2 linked regions of the Drosophila melanogaster genome follow. The protein of the gene in region 1 interacts with the protein of each later gene in a pairwise test. Each region holds a gene or a part of one and is shown on either strand. Other genes may lie near its edges. The genes, in order: Pgant6 and CG32354.

Evidence for each region.
Region 2: the proteins of Pgant6 (region 1) and CG32354 interact in a two-hybrid assay, tested with the Drosophila melanogaster proteins (one large-scale study listed by BioGRID).

What each region holds. Positions count from the first base shown.
Region 1 is NT_037436.4:2,780,343-2,786,717, forward strand, and holds Pgant6 (polypeptide N-Acetylgalactosaminyltransferase 6), read left to right. Parts: upstream 1-1,912; 5' UTR 1,913-2,213; intron 2,214-2,395; 5' UTR 2,396-2,558; coding exon 2,559-3,130; intron 3,131-3,393; coding exon 3,394-4,159; intron 4,160-4,653; coding exon 4,654-5,316; 3' UTR 5,317-5,668; downstream 5,669-6,375. Other genes in the region: Atg2 (Autophagy-related 2), read left to right, coding at 1-71; mRpS35 (mitochondrial ribosomal protein S35), read left to right, coding at 671-788, 852-1,714. UniProt on the Drosophila melanogaster protein: Glycopeptide transferase involved in O-linked oligosaccharide biosynthesis, which catalyzes the transfer of an N-acetyl-D-galactosamine residue to an already glycosylated peptide.
Region 2 is NT_037436.4:8,416,152-8,424,140, reverse strand, and holds the start of CG32354 (uncharacterized protein), read left to right. Parts: upstream 1-1,935; 5' UTR 1,936-3,074; coding exon 3,075-3,300; intron 3,301-6,281; coding exon 6,282-7,302; intron 7,303-7,358; coding exon 7,359-7,556; intron 7,557-7,617; coding exon 7,618-7,989.

The sequences.
Region 1 (6,375 bases):
GCGCCAAGAGCTCGCTGATTCCGGAGGCCAAACTGGAGGCGCGCGACAAGTGGAAGCAGGAGATCCACTAGGCAACTGCTTCACAGATCGACTAGGTTAACGGTAGCTATAGTTCACGGGGCTTACAGCATAACGCAATGTTTTCTATTGTTTTACTAATAATAAATAATGTACATAAAAGGAGCACTTGCACGAGACGGCGAGGTGACGAGGGATTTGGGATCCCGAACGGTGATTCCGACATGGGTGTGATTGAACTTATCCTTTTTAGCCATATTACAGTACATGAGAGTTATATTTTTTATTATTTTACCTGAATAAATATATATATATATAAAAGAAAAAGATGACGTATTTCTTCATGGTGCTGCTAAAAGTTTAAGAACGGATACTATTCTAGCAAAATTTAACCGAACTACCAGAATTTATTAAACCCTCAGCTAAAAATGAAGTACAAATAAAAACAACTAGCAGTTTACAAAATGATTTAAAAAGACGTTACTTTTATTTGTATGCTTCTCTGTGAATGGCAAGTTTCTGTAAACAGCTGATTGCTTGCTATTCGGCGCGAATGAATGTTCGTTGGCGCATGGTTTACGTAAAAGCCGCATAAATCGCTGGAAATATTAGTTAAAATTAGGTATCTAAGCTTAAAATTAAACATAAAACCATGTCCAGTGCGCTGACTCGCCTGTTGGAGCGCCTGCCACTGAAAAAACAGACGGCGCAAAGCGGTATTCGTGTTTTTTCCAACCAGGAGCAGCGGCAAGAAATTGAGGATGATGAAGGTAAACAATTAAGTTTCCCTGGCTTACACGTTTTATAATGGATATATCTTCCTGATCGGCCAGAATTCCGAGTGCTCAGCCTGCGGACGGTGAAGCAGCAGATGCAGAAGCGCCAGCAGGTCCGTCGGGATCCCATCACACCGCCGCGCACTGGCCGCATGGCGGTGGATCAGGACTGGACGGCCGTTTGGCCAGGACCACGTTCGTTCCACCCGGCCAGTGTGCCTCTGCCACTGCGGCAGGGATTCACGGAACGCGGAGCAGCAGCTCCGTCGAAGTTCGCCAATGCAGAGCTGATGAAGATACCCAACTTTCTGCACTTGACACCGCCGGCCATCCGTCAGCAATGCGAAGCCATCAAGAAGTTCTGCACGCCATGGCCAAAGGGTCTGGAGACAGAGGCCAAGTGGCAGCGCCACTTCCCCCTGGAGGTCACCACCACAGACTACTGCCAGAGTTTGCCCACGATCAGGAATCCGGAGGCCAGGCGCGTCACCATTACCCTGAAGCTCTCTGACCTGAAGTTCGATGCGCACGCCAGGGATAAGTTCCTGCGCCTGGTGGGCGATCGCTACAACAAGGACACGGACCTCGTTACCTTCGTCACGGATCGCTGTCCGCAGAAGAAGCAGAACTACGACTACGCCCTGTATCTGCTCACCGCTTGCTATCACGAATCCTTTGTCACCGAGCCGTGGGAGGCCACCAAATCGGAGGCCGACATGGAGGTCTATCTGTTCGAGCGTAACCAGTCGAAGGTCTCCGCCGAGGGAATCCTCAACTGGAACGCCAAGAAGGGTGCTCCAAAAGTGGTTCCCAGCAAGTCATTCGCTGAATGCGTGGAGAAACTGATAAACGAAGGCGAAAACGAGTACAACTTGGGCAAATACAAGGAGGAGGTCAAGAAGATGTTGAACATTGCCTAGGAAACTGGATAGTTGAGTGAACCAATAAAGCGAGAAGTTGTTAAAAAATAATCATAACAAGTATTTGAATGTTACAATATTTATCTTGTTAATAATTTTGAATTGAAACTGGGCAACCATGTAATCCCCCTTTACGACGCCCCTCCTTCGTTGTGAATGTCCGAACAGCTGTTTACAATGAAGGCGTGCCCGTGTGAATGGCATTAGAACAGCGCCAAGAACAGAACCAAAAAAACCGAATTTCCGCGGACGTGGAAGCAAACTTTTGTTTTGCTATGCTAATTAGTATTTTAGTAGTTAATAAGTTTATTCAACCCCGTTTGGATGGAGCTTTGAGTAGAATACAGTCGTAGAGAGGTGAGAACAAACTCCTGATAAGAATTCACCTGCTGATGACGTTTCACCTGATTAAAATTATAAAATCCGGAATTATAAACAAAGTTAGTCGCTGAAGTGTTTCTAAGTTATAGTACATTCATTGACATATGTCTGCGATAAGGTAACTATCCAGCGGATGTTCCTTCAGCGCAGTTAAATATCATTTCTATTATCTTAACTTTCGTATTGGTGAAAATGACTCGCCGCTTATCTTGTATTTTTTGTATGTGCGACCCAAAAAGATACATATGTGCTTACGTTTCTGAATTTTTCTACTTTTCTACTATTCTCTTTCACCCACAGACCACGTTGCAGTGCCGCCAGATAAAGAGACAAGCCAGCAAACATCCGCAGCACCTGAGCTAACAAACCAATATCACCATTACCGCGAGATATACTTCACCGACATTAATGGTTGACGTAGAGACCCGTAGAGCGCACACGTAGCCACGGATATCCGGCAAAGATGCGGCGACCCAATCTCAAGTGGATAGTGAAGGCCTCGCTGCTCTTGTTGATCTCACTGACTCTCTTCGTACTGATAACCAGCTGGATCTCATCTACTCCGTACACCAACAAGCCAGTCCATCATGGCGTGGAGCCCGTGCCCGAAAAGGCTGGCCTTTCCGGCGATGTCAAGGTGAAGGTGCCAGCTATAAAGCAACCAGAACCTCAGAAACCACAGGAACCCGACTTCGAAGAGGATCCTGAGCTGCAGAAGATCGATGAGCCCGAACCGGTGGAGGAAGAAGTCGATAATCCGCATCCGGCGGACGACGAACCGCAACAGCAGCCCCAGGAGGAGCTCCAAATGGCTGCGCCGGCGGACGCTTCGGTGAAGAAGGACTGGCACGACTATACTTTCATGGAAAAGGATGCCAAGCGCGTGGGCCTCGGGGAGGGCGGAAAGGCATCGACGCTCGACGATGAGTCCCAGCGAGACTTGGAGAAGCGAATGTCCCTGGAAAATGGATTTAATGCCCTGCTCTCGGATTCCATATCGGTTAACCGCTCGGTGCCCGACATCCGCCACCCTCTGTGAGTTGTTCATCAAAAAGCACTTAGTTTCGCTAAATATAGGAGTCGAGATAAGGCAGTGGCTCCCAAAATGGGCACTTCTCTAATGTGACGCTCCAAATCAGTTTTATTTTCAAAGTCAGATAAGACCATTTTGCTTGCTTGAAATGCTTATTATTTTATAGTAGGAAGATATTGAATTAATTATATCAGTGCAGTGATATCTGTTAACGAATAATTTATTGCCAATTCCAATTTATTTTAATCTATTAATTCAATTGCAGATGTCGCAAGAAGGAGTACGTAGCGAAGTTGCCCACAGTCAGTGTGATCATCATCTTTTACAACGAATACCTGAGCGTGCTGATGCGCTCAGTTCACAGTCTGATTAATCGCTCGCCGCCGGAGCTGATGAAGGAGATAATCCTGGTGGACGATCACAGTGACCGCGAATATTTGGGAAAGGAGCTGGAGACCTATATAGCGGAACACTTTAAGTGGGTGCGCGTGGTGAGGCTGCCAAGGCGCACGGGACTGATTGGTGCCCGAGCGGCGGGCGCAAGGAATGCCACTGCAGAGGTGCTCATCTTCCTCGATTCCCACGTGGAGGCCAACTACAATTGGTTGCCACCGTTGCTGGAGCCGATTGCCCTGAACAAACGGACGGCGGTGTGTCCCTTTATCGATGTGATTGACCACACCAACTTCCACTACCGGGCGCAGGATGAGGGAGCCCGAGGAGCGTTCGACTGGGAGTTCTTTTACAAGCGCCTGCCATTGCTGCCAGAGGATCTAAAGCATCCGGCCGATCCGTTCAAGAGTCCCATCATGGCTGGCGGTCTATTTGCCATTTCTAGGGAGTTCTTCTGGGAACTGGGCGGCTACGACGAGGGCCTGGACATCTGGGGCGGAGAACAGTATGAGCTAAGCTTCAAGATCTGGATGTGTGGTGGTGAAATGTACGATGCGCCCTGCTCCCGCATTGGGCATATCTATCGCGGACCTCGCAACCATCAGCCGAGTCCCAGGAAGGGCGATTACCTGCACAAGGTGAGTTTAGCAGTAGAGAATAAAGAGTAATCTAAATGGCGAATGGGAAATTGAGCCATAAACGGGTTTCATCCAACATTAACAGACACTCCCATTTAGTTTCTTAATTTTTTTAAGACCTCATAAAATTCTTTTGTCTCTGAACTTCGCTAGTTCATTTTACAAGTTTTTATTTTTATGTTTTTGTTTTTGGCGGATAAACTTGGCGTGTTGGTTCTAATTAGAAATTTATATGTTGCCTCTTCGTGGTATATCTTTATATCTTTGTTTTGTTTACTCTGGCATGTAGCTATCCGAACTTGACACATTGTTGTGAAAAATATTTGCGCATATTTAAAAAGGGGTTTATGGCTTTCGAAGTTAACTTGATTGCAGCCATGGCAACAAATTTTATTTAAGATTTCTTCGCCAACGATTTCGCAGTAATTATTATTCTTATCAAGGCAATCAATCAGTTAATTAGACCCATCGACTAACTCTTGATTACTTTGCAGAACTACAAGCGAGTGGCGGAGGTGTGGATGGACGAGTACAAGAACTACCTGTACAGCCACGGAGACGGTCTGTACGAGAGCGTGGATCCTGGCGATTTGACGGAGCAAAAGGCCATCCGCACCAAGCTGAACTGCAAGTCCTTCAAATGGTTCATGGAGGAGGTGGCCTTCGATCTGATGAAGACCTATCCGCCGGTGGATCCGCCGTCCTATGCCATGGGCGCTCTGCAGAATGTGGGCAATCAGAATCTGTGCCTGGACACGTTGGGCAGAAAGAAGCACAACAAGATGGGCATGTACGCGTGTGCCGACAATATAAAGACTCCGCAGCGAACGCAGTTCTGGGAGCTGAGCTGGAAGCGAGACCTTCGCCTACGGCGAAAGAAGGAGTGCCTGGACGTCCAGATCTGGGATGCCAATGCGCCCGTTTGGCTGTGGGACTGCCACAGCCAGGGTGGCAACCAGTATTGGTACTACGACTACCGCCACAAGCAGCTCAAGCACGGCACGGAGGGCAGAAGGTGCCTGGAGCTGCTGCCCTTCTCCCAGGAGGTGGTGGCCAACAAGTGCGACACCGACAATCGGTTCCAGCAGTGGAACTTCGGCTCGTTCAACAAAACAGCGCTGGACAACTACTCGCAGGACCTCGTCCTCAGCCTGTAACCGCTGCCCTGCAATAGTATCACTTGCCATGTACTTAGAACACTTCGATGTAAATAACTAGGCTAGATAGGTTGTACGGCCGCTTGGCCACATAACAATTTACCCCGACTCAAGCGCACATATGCAACAGAGGATGCAACAGAGAGTATCTTTACCTTAAATATAGTGCATCTCAAACCAATTCCAAATGCCACAAAAATAATTTGTAGCGTTACGTATGCTTTGGAGTTTTGTTTGGTTTCAAACAGGATTCCGAATATGCTAGTATTAGCCTCTAAATTGTCATAAGTTTGACAACCGTATGACTTTGTACTCCACAAGAAGTGTTTTCCAATAAAGAATATTTTTAAATAATTATCAGAAGTGCTGGTATGGGTATCCCCCCGTTGTTGCAAATGAAAAATGCAGTCTGGCGATCTTAACTTTGTTTTCGTTTTATTTAATATTAATATCTGTTTGCTTTCCATGCGCGTACTTTAAATAAATATAATTACGTTTTTCATCCATCTCATCCATCCGCTTCGTGCTTCACAATCTTTATATACGTTCTCGGGTTGTATATCGTTTTACAATATGTATGTATCTCGCTATATCGTATCTCTATCTGATTCTGCACCCGAATGTCGCTAAGTCAGGTGCGATATCTTCGAGCTCTTTTCTGATTTCTGAGTTCTAATTTCTGATTTCTTATTTCCGCTTATTACTTATGCTGCTCAGTGTTGAGTGTTAATTGGTTTTGTTTCTGCTTTATCATATGCCAATATACGTATAGTTTATGTAAAAGGTGTACGCCGAGCGCCCCGCGAAACTCAAAAGTCGTTTTGGGGTGTGTAACTTAATGATGGCAAAGGATTTGCTTTTATTTGAAAATGATAAAAAAAGCATTTACAAACTATAATAGTTGTTGTTGGCTTGCGTAATCAGTTAATCAATTATCAATTATCATAAGTTATATTAATATATTATATAAACATTTAAATATTTATCAAAACATGTTTTTTCTTGTTGCTCAAAAGTCTTCTTCGCTGCCTTACATTTAAATTACATTACGTACAGTTT
Region 2 (7,989 bases), 5.6 Mb from region 1:
TTAATATGCACTGCCACTGCAGCCGCAATTTTCACTTTCCATTTTTATTGGCAACCGCAGGCGAGCGCCGTCAAATATTTGGCCAAAAAAGAAACTGCACGGCTGCCAAAAGGTTTTTACGTCTCCGCGCCAGCCTGGCTTTCTTTTAATTAAATTTTGCTCTTCTGTTTTCAGTTTCTTATTTATTTTTTTTTTTTTTGGCGGTCTTTTCCTGCGGTTTGTCCCCCTCATTTCTATGGGATCTGCAGCTCGTCGTGTTTGGGGTATTAGTTCTGGGCACTGGCGCTTAAAGCCGAGTCACGCCTGTCATATGCAGTTTGGCTTTTTCCGTCGAGCTGAGATCGGCTCGGCATTATGTTTTGTTTTGTTTTGTTTGGTTTTGTTTTGGACCTGGCTCTCTCTGATCTGCCCAAAAAGCTAACTGTAAACATTCACTTACTGACCTCTTTTCCCATGCGACGGCCACTTCCACCTCCACCTCCACTCAATTTTCTTTAATGCACGCGACTCCGCCGCCAATGATCTGCTTCTTCACCTTCCTCCACCCACCGCCAGCGCACAGTGGTTCCAAAACATGTGGAATTTAAGCACCCACAACGCATTTCCCAAAAATGATGATTTATTGCACAAAGTTTTAAGGGAAAGTACTCGTAAGAAAAAAAAGCAACATTAAAATTCTTAAAAAGATTGAATATTAACTTAAAGCTCATATGTCCCGAACCATGAAAGATTAAGGATTATGTTTTGCTTAAGAACATTTATTTACTTACTATTTATAGTTTAAAATATAACTTCATTTTTTATGTTACTAGCAAGTTATTTATTTGGGTAGCATTACTTTGTATTCCTTTTAACATAAGCTAGAATTACTTAACTAAAATATTATTATATCAAATATATAATACCTAAGACAATTAGATAAGGTCTAAGCTCTAATAGCTAAACTATGCCAAAATCAAATATTTTTGTGTGAATGCATTAGTAAACATGCACCTTAAATTGGCATCAGGACACTGTGCAAGGTGATAGTAGGCTATGTGTGTGTGACCCTTATTCGCAACGGCCGCTGAGGCGTAAAATTTATGGCTTTAAAGTCTACAAGTCTATAAACACAGCTTCCAGGCTGCACTTTCTACTGCAACTGCAACTGCCAATGCCAATGCCACTGCAACTGAATCGTGGACTCGGATCGTGAATATTGTATATTGGATGTGGGATGGTATGGCTTGGGTTTGGGCATCGGAGATGTTGGGGGAGCACGGACGTGGATGTGGATGCATCTGATCCGATCGAATCGTATCGTATCGAATCGAATCGAGTGTGTGAGTTATAATTTCAAATGCGGCGCGCCTTTTTGGCTGCATTTTGCTGCCACTTTTGGCAAATTAAATTTGTACGCAAAACCGATTAGGCCAGGCAGACATGACCAAGTTGTTATTTTAAATACCAACAACTCCATTTAATCAATATGCCCCGGCACCCAACAATGCACTCGAAAAACTTGTGGTAGTAAACCGTTAAAGTTTAAAAAGAAATATAGGTCTATTCAAAAAGATCAAGACTAGACTACATTTTTAACTTAAATTTACTTGCTCTCTTTACTGCTCTCAATATATGTTACATTTTGAAAGTTTGAAACTGCACAGACATGCATATCTTTGAATTGTATCCTTTTACAATCCACCATTGCTGTTATTGTACATTATAACTTTTTTATTATTATTCATATATATTTTTATTTTTTCATTGTTTTTCAACTTTAAAAACTTAAAGAAAGCGGTGCTTTTTGTCCTAACTGGAAATACTCTTGATTTAGTATTCAAAAGATGAGTGAATTGTTTCGAGTGTAGCTGCAACAACAACAGCGCTGGATGCTCTGCTCTGCCGTCGCCGACTGCGCTGCCTTTCACCCATATAAATTTCTTTTCATTGCAAATTTTTTGCCATTCGTCGGCGCATTGTCAAACCTTCCAGTCGCATTTGGAGCCCAAGCTTTCCGAGATTTCAGAGCGACTCTAGAGCGCACTAAACAAAGGCCTAAGAAAAAAGTTAAAAAGGCGAAAAAAGAAACAGAGGCAAAGACGACAATACGAATTGTACAAATCGGATGCGAGCGCGAGTGTGTTAGTGCCCATTCATTCATTCATTCATTCGAGAACAATAAAAAAGAAGAAATGAAATACGAAATGCAATCGCCGCAGTTGCAGTCGCAGTCGGCGTCGCAGTAGGCGTCAGCGGAGGCATCGGCCGAGGCAGAACAGTAGCAGCAGCATCGAAATCCGAAAGACAGATCATTTTTCATATGCGAATCGAAACTCGAAGAGCGCGCATCAAAGTCAAATTCAAACGACAAAAGAGTAACGGACAAAAGCGAATTGTTTTGTGCGCATAATAGAAACGAAAAAAAAAAGAAAAACGTTATAAAAAGCAAATAAAAGGAAAATAAAGCCTTACCAGAACCAGTAATTGAAATCAAATTAAAGGCGGGCCGTGCAAAAATCCACAAAACATCAAGAAAAAGCCATAAAGCCAAGGCGATAAAAAAGAAATTATGCTCCATTGTGCGATTGTGTGAAAAGGTCAAGTGCCCGGCAGGCAAAGGGAAAAGCGAAAGAGACAGAAGACAGCGTAAGACACGGGAGCTTGATGTTGATAGGCAAACGAATGAACTCGTAAAAGGGCGCTAAAGAGAGAGAGAGAGAAGGCAACACAACGACATCGGTTAACAAGAAGAGCAGGAAGAAGAAGAAGAAGAGCAGGCCAGGCCCAAATGACCGCAAGATTACCGTTAATTCGAACAGCTTAAGCGCCATTACGAGCAGTTATATAGTCCATATACTATATAGCACCACTATATCTCTATCTCCCTGGTAGATCGACCGAGGAAGAGAAAAAAAAACTTTCATCCACCGTGAGCCGCAGCCGCATAAAAGTTTGCTACTATTTCAATTTCAATTGTTAACGAGCGAAAGCGCCGCACGCCTCAGTCTCACATCACGCACGCATCCGATCCGAGCGGCAACAACAAATCATCAAGCGTCTAATAGGAAAAGTGCAGCAGACAGCCAGCGAAAATGCACCACAAACAGCATCTGCATCTGCATCTGCAGCCCCCCGCCCCAAACGCCACCCAAACACAGGCCCACGGACTTGGCCAGACTCCAAGCCAGATCGCCAGATGCAGCCATAACCACAGCCCCAGTCTGGGCCTCAGCTTTGGCGGCACCAAGAGCCAGCGACAGCTGTTTGGCGCACTCTTGGCCATGTTCACGTTGGCGGCATTTGCGTCAACCACCAGTGGTAAGTCGTACACTGCGAGAAATCCCAAAATTGGTGCTACACGTTGAGTAGAAAGTCACAGGAAGTAGTCTTAGATCATTCGAATCTCTTTCCTGGCATTCTCACTATTCAAATTGTTTAATTGCCTCAAGAAATGAATCAGCTAAAGAAGTATACGTTGATTCAGATTCAGCAAAGTTCCTCCTAACTAAATTAAAATCAGATTAAGATAAAACTAGGTTCCTTAAGCAGAGCATTAAGTCCAATATAATCATAAAAGAGAAAACTGACTATGGAACTCTTAAGCCATTGCTAAAGTAAAGAATGCTCTATTTAAATCCAGATTAGTTAACATTACATTTAAAAGGGCCTAATACAAGTTTCAAAGGGTATTAGTTTTCCTCTTGCTAAATGTACTTTCTCCTAACTATCACATCGTTATTGAGTTGCAGTTAAAACTGCGGACAGAGTTCTAGGGAAACCCGAGTTCTTCAGCGGAAAACGGCAACTGATCTTGAGCTAAATGAAAGTTGCAGACAGACTGGACAAGTCCCAGTGAGTGCCGTCTCAATTACCGCCTAATTTCTCCGGGTGTTGAAACGGAGAAGGTGAATCGGGGTCCGGATCTAAGACCTACAGCTGTGCGGTGGTAGAAAGGCCGTCGCAGCAGCTATTCAACTATCCATTTCTAAGGTACTACTCCGCACAAAGTGAATGTAAACTGGCACACATACACGAGCGCGAAGCTTCCAATGCCCCAACACCTCTCCCCCCACCGCCCCCTAGACCACGAACTCCCCAGTTTGAGGCACTCACTCCTCGACGCACAACATGCTCGTAAATATTTTCGTGCACAATTTGTCCAACATTCGTATAAATTCATTAAAAGCACGAAGGGGCCAAACAGAAGCCGGGGGCCTGAAAACGTAGGGGGGGGGGGGGGCTGGTGGAAGAGGGGCGAATCGCTAGCTCATGGGGGGGGGGGAAAATCAAGCTGACCGCACAGTGGCAGCGAGCTGGAAAGGGTTGGGGGTCAATTGGGGGGGTTACATCGTTTAAAGTTGACCCGAAGCGAAATGATTTATTTGACTTGTAAGCGCGATCGTTTGGCTAATTGATAACCGCACTTCATCGGAGATTGATGGGTGAAAGATCAATTAGTTTTGGATGCTGTGATATATGCTCGCATGCATATACACATATATATGTACATATGTACATATATGTTTTAATGGCCCCAATCAGTGGCGCCGTGATTCATTCATCTATGGGCTTGGTCATGTCGCTGCTCGCCACTGTGCCACACCAAACCGGAGCAAACCGAGTGCACATGGTGTGCTCCATGTGCATATATAGATATGTATGTACATATGTACATATATATATGTACATACCCAGTATATATCATGCAAAAGTCCCTGCCCAGCAGTGCAGTGCGTTGGTTGCTGGATTTTTCCACTTTTGAAAATTATACGGTGGCTGCTTTTATTATTTCTCTCGCCTTTTTTTTTTGCAATTGATGGCATCCGATAGGCAGGAGCCTGCCAGCAATTCGCTGGAGGCCAGGAAAATGCACCTGCACTGGGAGAAATCAGCAGAACATATGAACAAAAGGAAATCAGTAAATCAGAGGTGTATTTAAAATGCAAAATAGTATGGTGTATGGTGTTGTATAAGTTTGTACCATTAGTTTGCATGAGTGATTTGATTCTGAGTTTATCCCAGGACTAGTACCACACTTTTCTGCCAGTGCAGGATTGGTGAGAGTGGGTGGGGCGGTTGAGGTCGCATTGCTGCAATGCTGAATGAGATTGGCTGTGGTCTCGGCTTTTGCCTCTGACCATTCCAGCGGATCGTTTACATGTGCATTAATTCCTAACGCCGCTTAATTTTCTCCGCGCTTAATGGCTCCTCTGGATGCCGATGCCTCCGATTCAGATTCGGACTCGCATCCAGCCAGAGAAGCATCCGAGTCCATTAAGCTGAGAATGCGTCTGCTCGACTGACTGACTGGCTGGCTGGCTGGATGTTGAAATTTCCATCTTTATGGCCGGCAGCAGCAAATTGGAATAATGAACGTGGGTTCAATTATCGCAGCCAAACCATCGTGTGGCAGCCTCAAAGAGCGCTAATAGATTTTCTACTGCTGTTGGGTATGTCTATTTACGTTCGTATATCTTTAACTAAGTTGAGTGCTTCCTCCGGAGGCGGCTCTCACAGCTTTCTTTGCAAACAAAAAAAAAAAAAAAAATAAGAAAAATGGACAAATCAACCCAAACTAAACCAGCAGTTCCACATCCGACCAAAGACAACAGAAATGTTCGGCGCCGGAGGCAATTAGTGTGGAAATTTCACTTGCAGTTTTTAGCACAGATTAAGCTTACGATTTCTGGAGGGGATTAGCATGAACAATTATAGATGGAGGTCGCTGATAGTCCGTATGAACGAAGCGAGTGTATTAGCTGTGCTCAAACCACAGCCAAAACATAAATGCCATTGTGTCGTTTTACTTGGAATCGAGATTTGAAGACGGGTAACATTTGCCGTTGCCGTTAGTAAAAAGGGAAAGAATTATTCAAGTTAATGGCTGGTTACTTGAGTCGGTCATGCGATCACTCCAGAATCAGAGACTGGTCTCGGATGCGGGGGAGTGTCGGCGGGTGGCGGCATGGACACAGTGGGTCACAACTGCGCAAAATGCCCTATGATCGTGCGGCTAATCTGACATTTGTATGCCCACAGTTGACTCTTCCGCATGCCACCGCTAAAGAGCTGTGGAAAATGCGAAGGGAAAGTTTCATTTGGCGGTCTCGAAACAGAGTTACCCTGGGAAAATTCGATGGACAACCGGTCATTACGTGCGGGGAAGTAGTAATTATTACTAAGCTTTGTTTAATAAGTTCATATAACAGAGGAGGAGGAACTACTGTCTTGCTTTAAATGTTTAGAATTAAGTTTCTAGATAGAAACCAATTAAATTCTAAAATCATTTCCATCCACAGGCGCTGTGACAGACTCACCCATCAAGATTATCCGGCTGCCGGCGCAGGCGCCAGTTATCCGCTATCGCAGTGCAGATGCGGCGCCCAACTCATTGCTGATCAACTATCGTCAGGATGCGCGACCGGAGCTGTCGTCCACATTGATGCAGGCACCCGGAGCGGCGGCAGCTGCCTTGGAGTCGCTGCTGCGCGAGGAGACGGAGCAACAGCAGCTGTCACAGATGGGCAGACGGAATAGGGCTAGTAACACCGGCACCGGCAACTGTCCTCGATCCTGTCCACCGAGCATCACCGTGGGAGCTGAGCCCGTGTGCGGCAGCGATGGTCTGATCTATGCGAATATCTGCGAGCTGCGCAAGAAGACTTGCTCCCGCAGTGGAGTGTCGCTGATCAAGGACGTGCGGGATGGCTGCGAGAGGTCGAAGGGTTCGGACTGCAAGCACCGCTGCAGCACGGAGAAGGATCCAGTGTGTGGTACAGACGGAAGGACCTATCTGAATCGCTGCATGCTGAGGGTGCAATCGTGTCGCGTGGGATTGGCTGCAGTGAAGCTATCGCATGTGGGTCCCTGCAGCAACACGAGTGCCGTGCGTGAGTCCTGTCCGGTTGACTGCAACAGTGCGCCGAAGGATGGACCAGTTTGCTCATCGGATGGCAATGTATACAACTCCACGTGCGAGATGAAGCTGAAGACGTGTGGACAGGGTGTGGTGAAAACCAGCCGGAAGCACTGTCAGTCCACACGAATGTGCAGGGAATCCTGCTGGCGTGTGGCGAGGCCCACTTGCGGATCAGATGGCAGACTGTATGCCAGTCCGTGCAAGATGCGCTCTTCCAATTGCGGCAAGCACGTCTTTGAGGTTCCCTTATCCTACTGCATGTCGCAGGAGAGGCACGGAGCCTCCGATGCCTGTCCCACGGAGTGTCCCAAATCGGATACGGATTCCTCGTCGCAGTACGTGTGCGGCAGTGATGGCAACATATACTCTTCGCTGTGTGAACTCAAAATGCTCAATTGCGGGTGAGTTTGGATGAGATAAAAATGGAATATAACCAGACTAAAATTTTATCTTTCAGTCCACAGCGCAAGTCCATTCAAAAAGTGAGCATGGACAAGTGCAAGAATCGACTGACCCGCTGCAAACAGCTGCCTCCTTGCAAGGACTTCAATAGCTTGTTCGGTTCCATCTTCAGCTCGAAGCGAAATGACAAGCTCTGCGGCACGGACGCCAAGACTTATAACAATGAGTGCGAACTGGCCCACGCCACCTGCCTGTGAGTATCCATGATAGGATCATCCATAGGACATGGATCTAGCTCTTCAACTTCTTTTCAGACGCGGCGTGAATCTGGCCCACATTGGTCCCTGCACGGATCTCAATTCGCCCACCAAGGATTGCGGGGATGCCTGTACTCGGGCGGATCTGGAACAGCAGCCAGTGTGCGGCTCGGATGGCAACACCTTCGCCTCCATGTGCGAGTTCAAGCGGCGCACTTGCGATCTGCGTGTGGTGCCCGTTTCGCTAAAGAATTGCGCTTTAACCGCCGACTGCGAATCGGATTGTGATGCCCAGCCGCCAAGTTTCGTCTGCGGATCGGACAACAACTTGTACAAGTCCGAGTGCCACATGCGCAAGGAGAATTGTGGCAAGCATGTTTTCGTGGTGCCACTGAAGCGCTGCCTTGCCGCCTTTCAGCTTAAAGGATG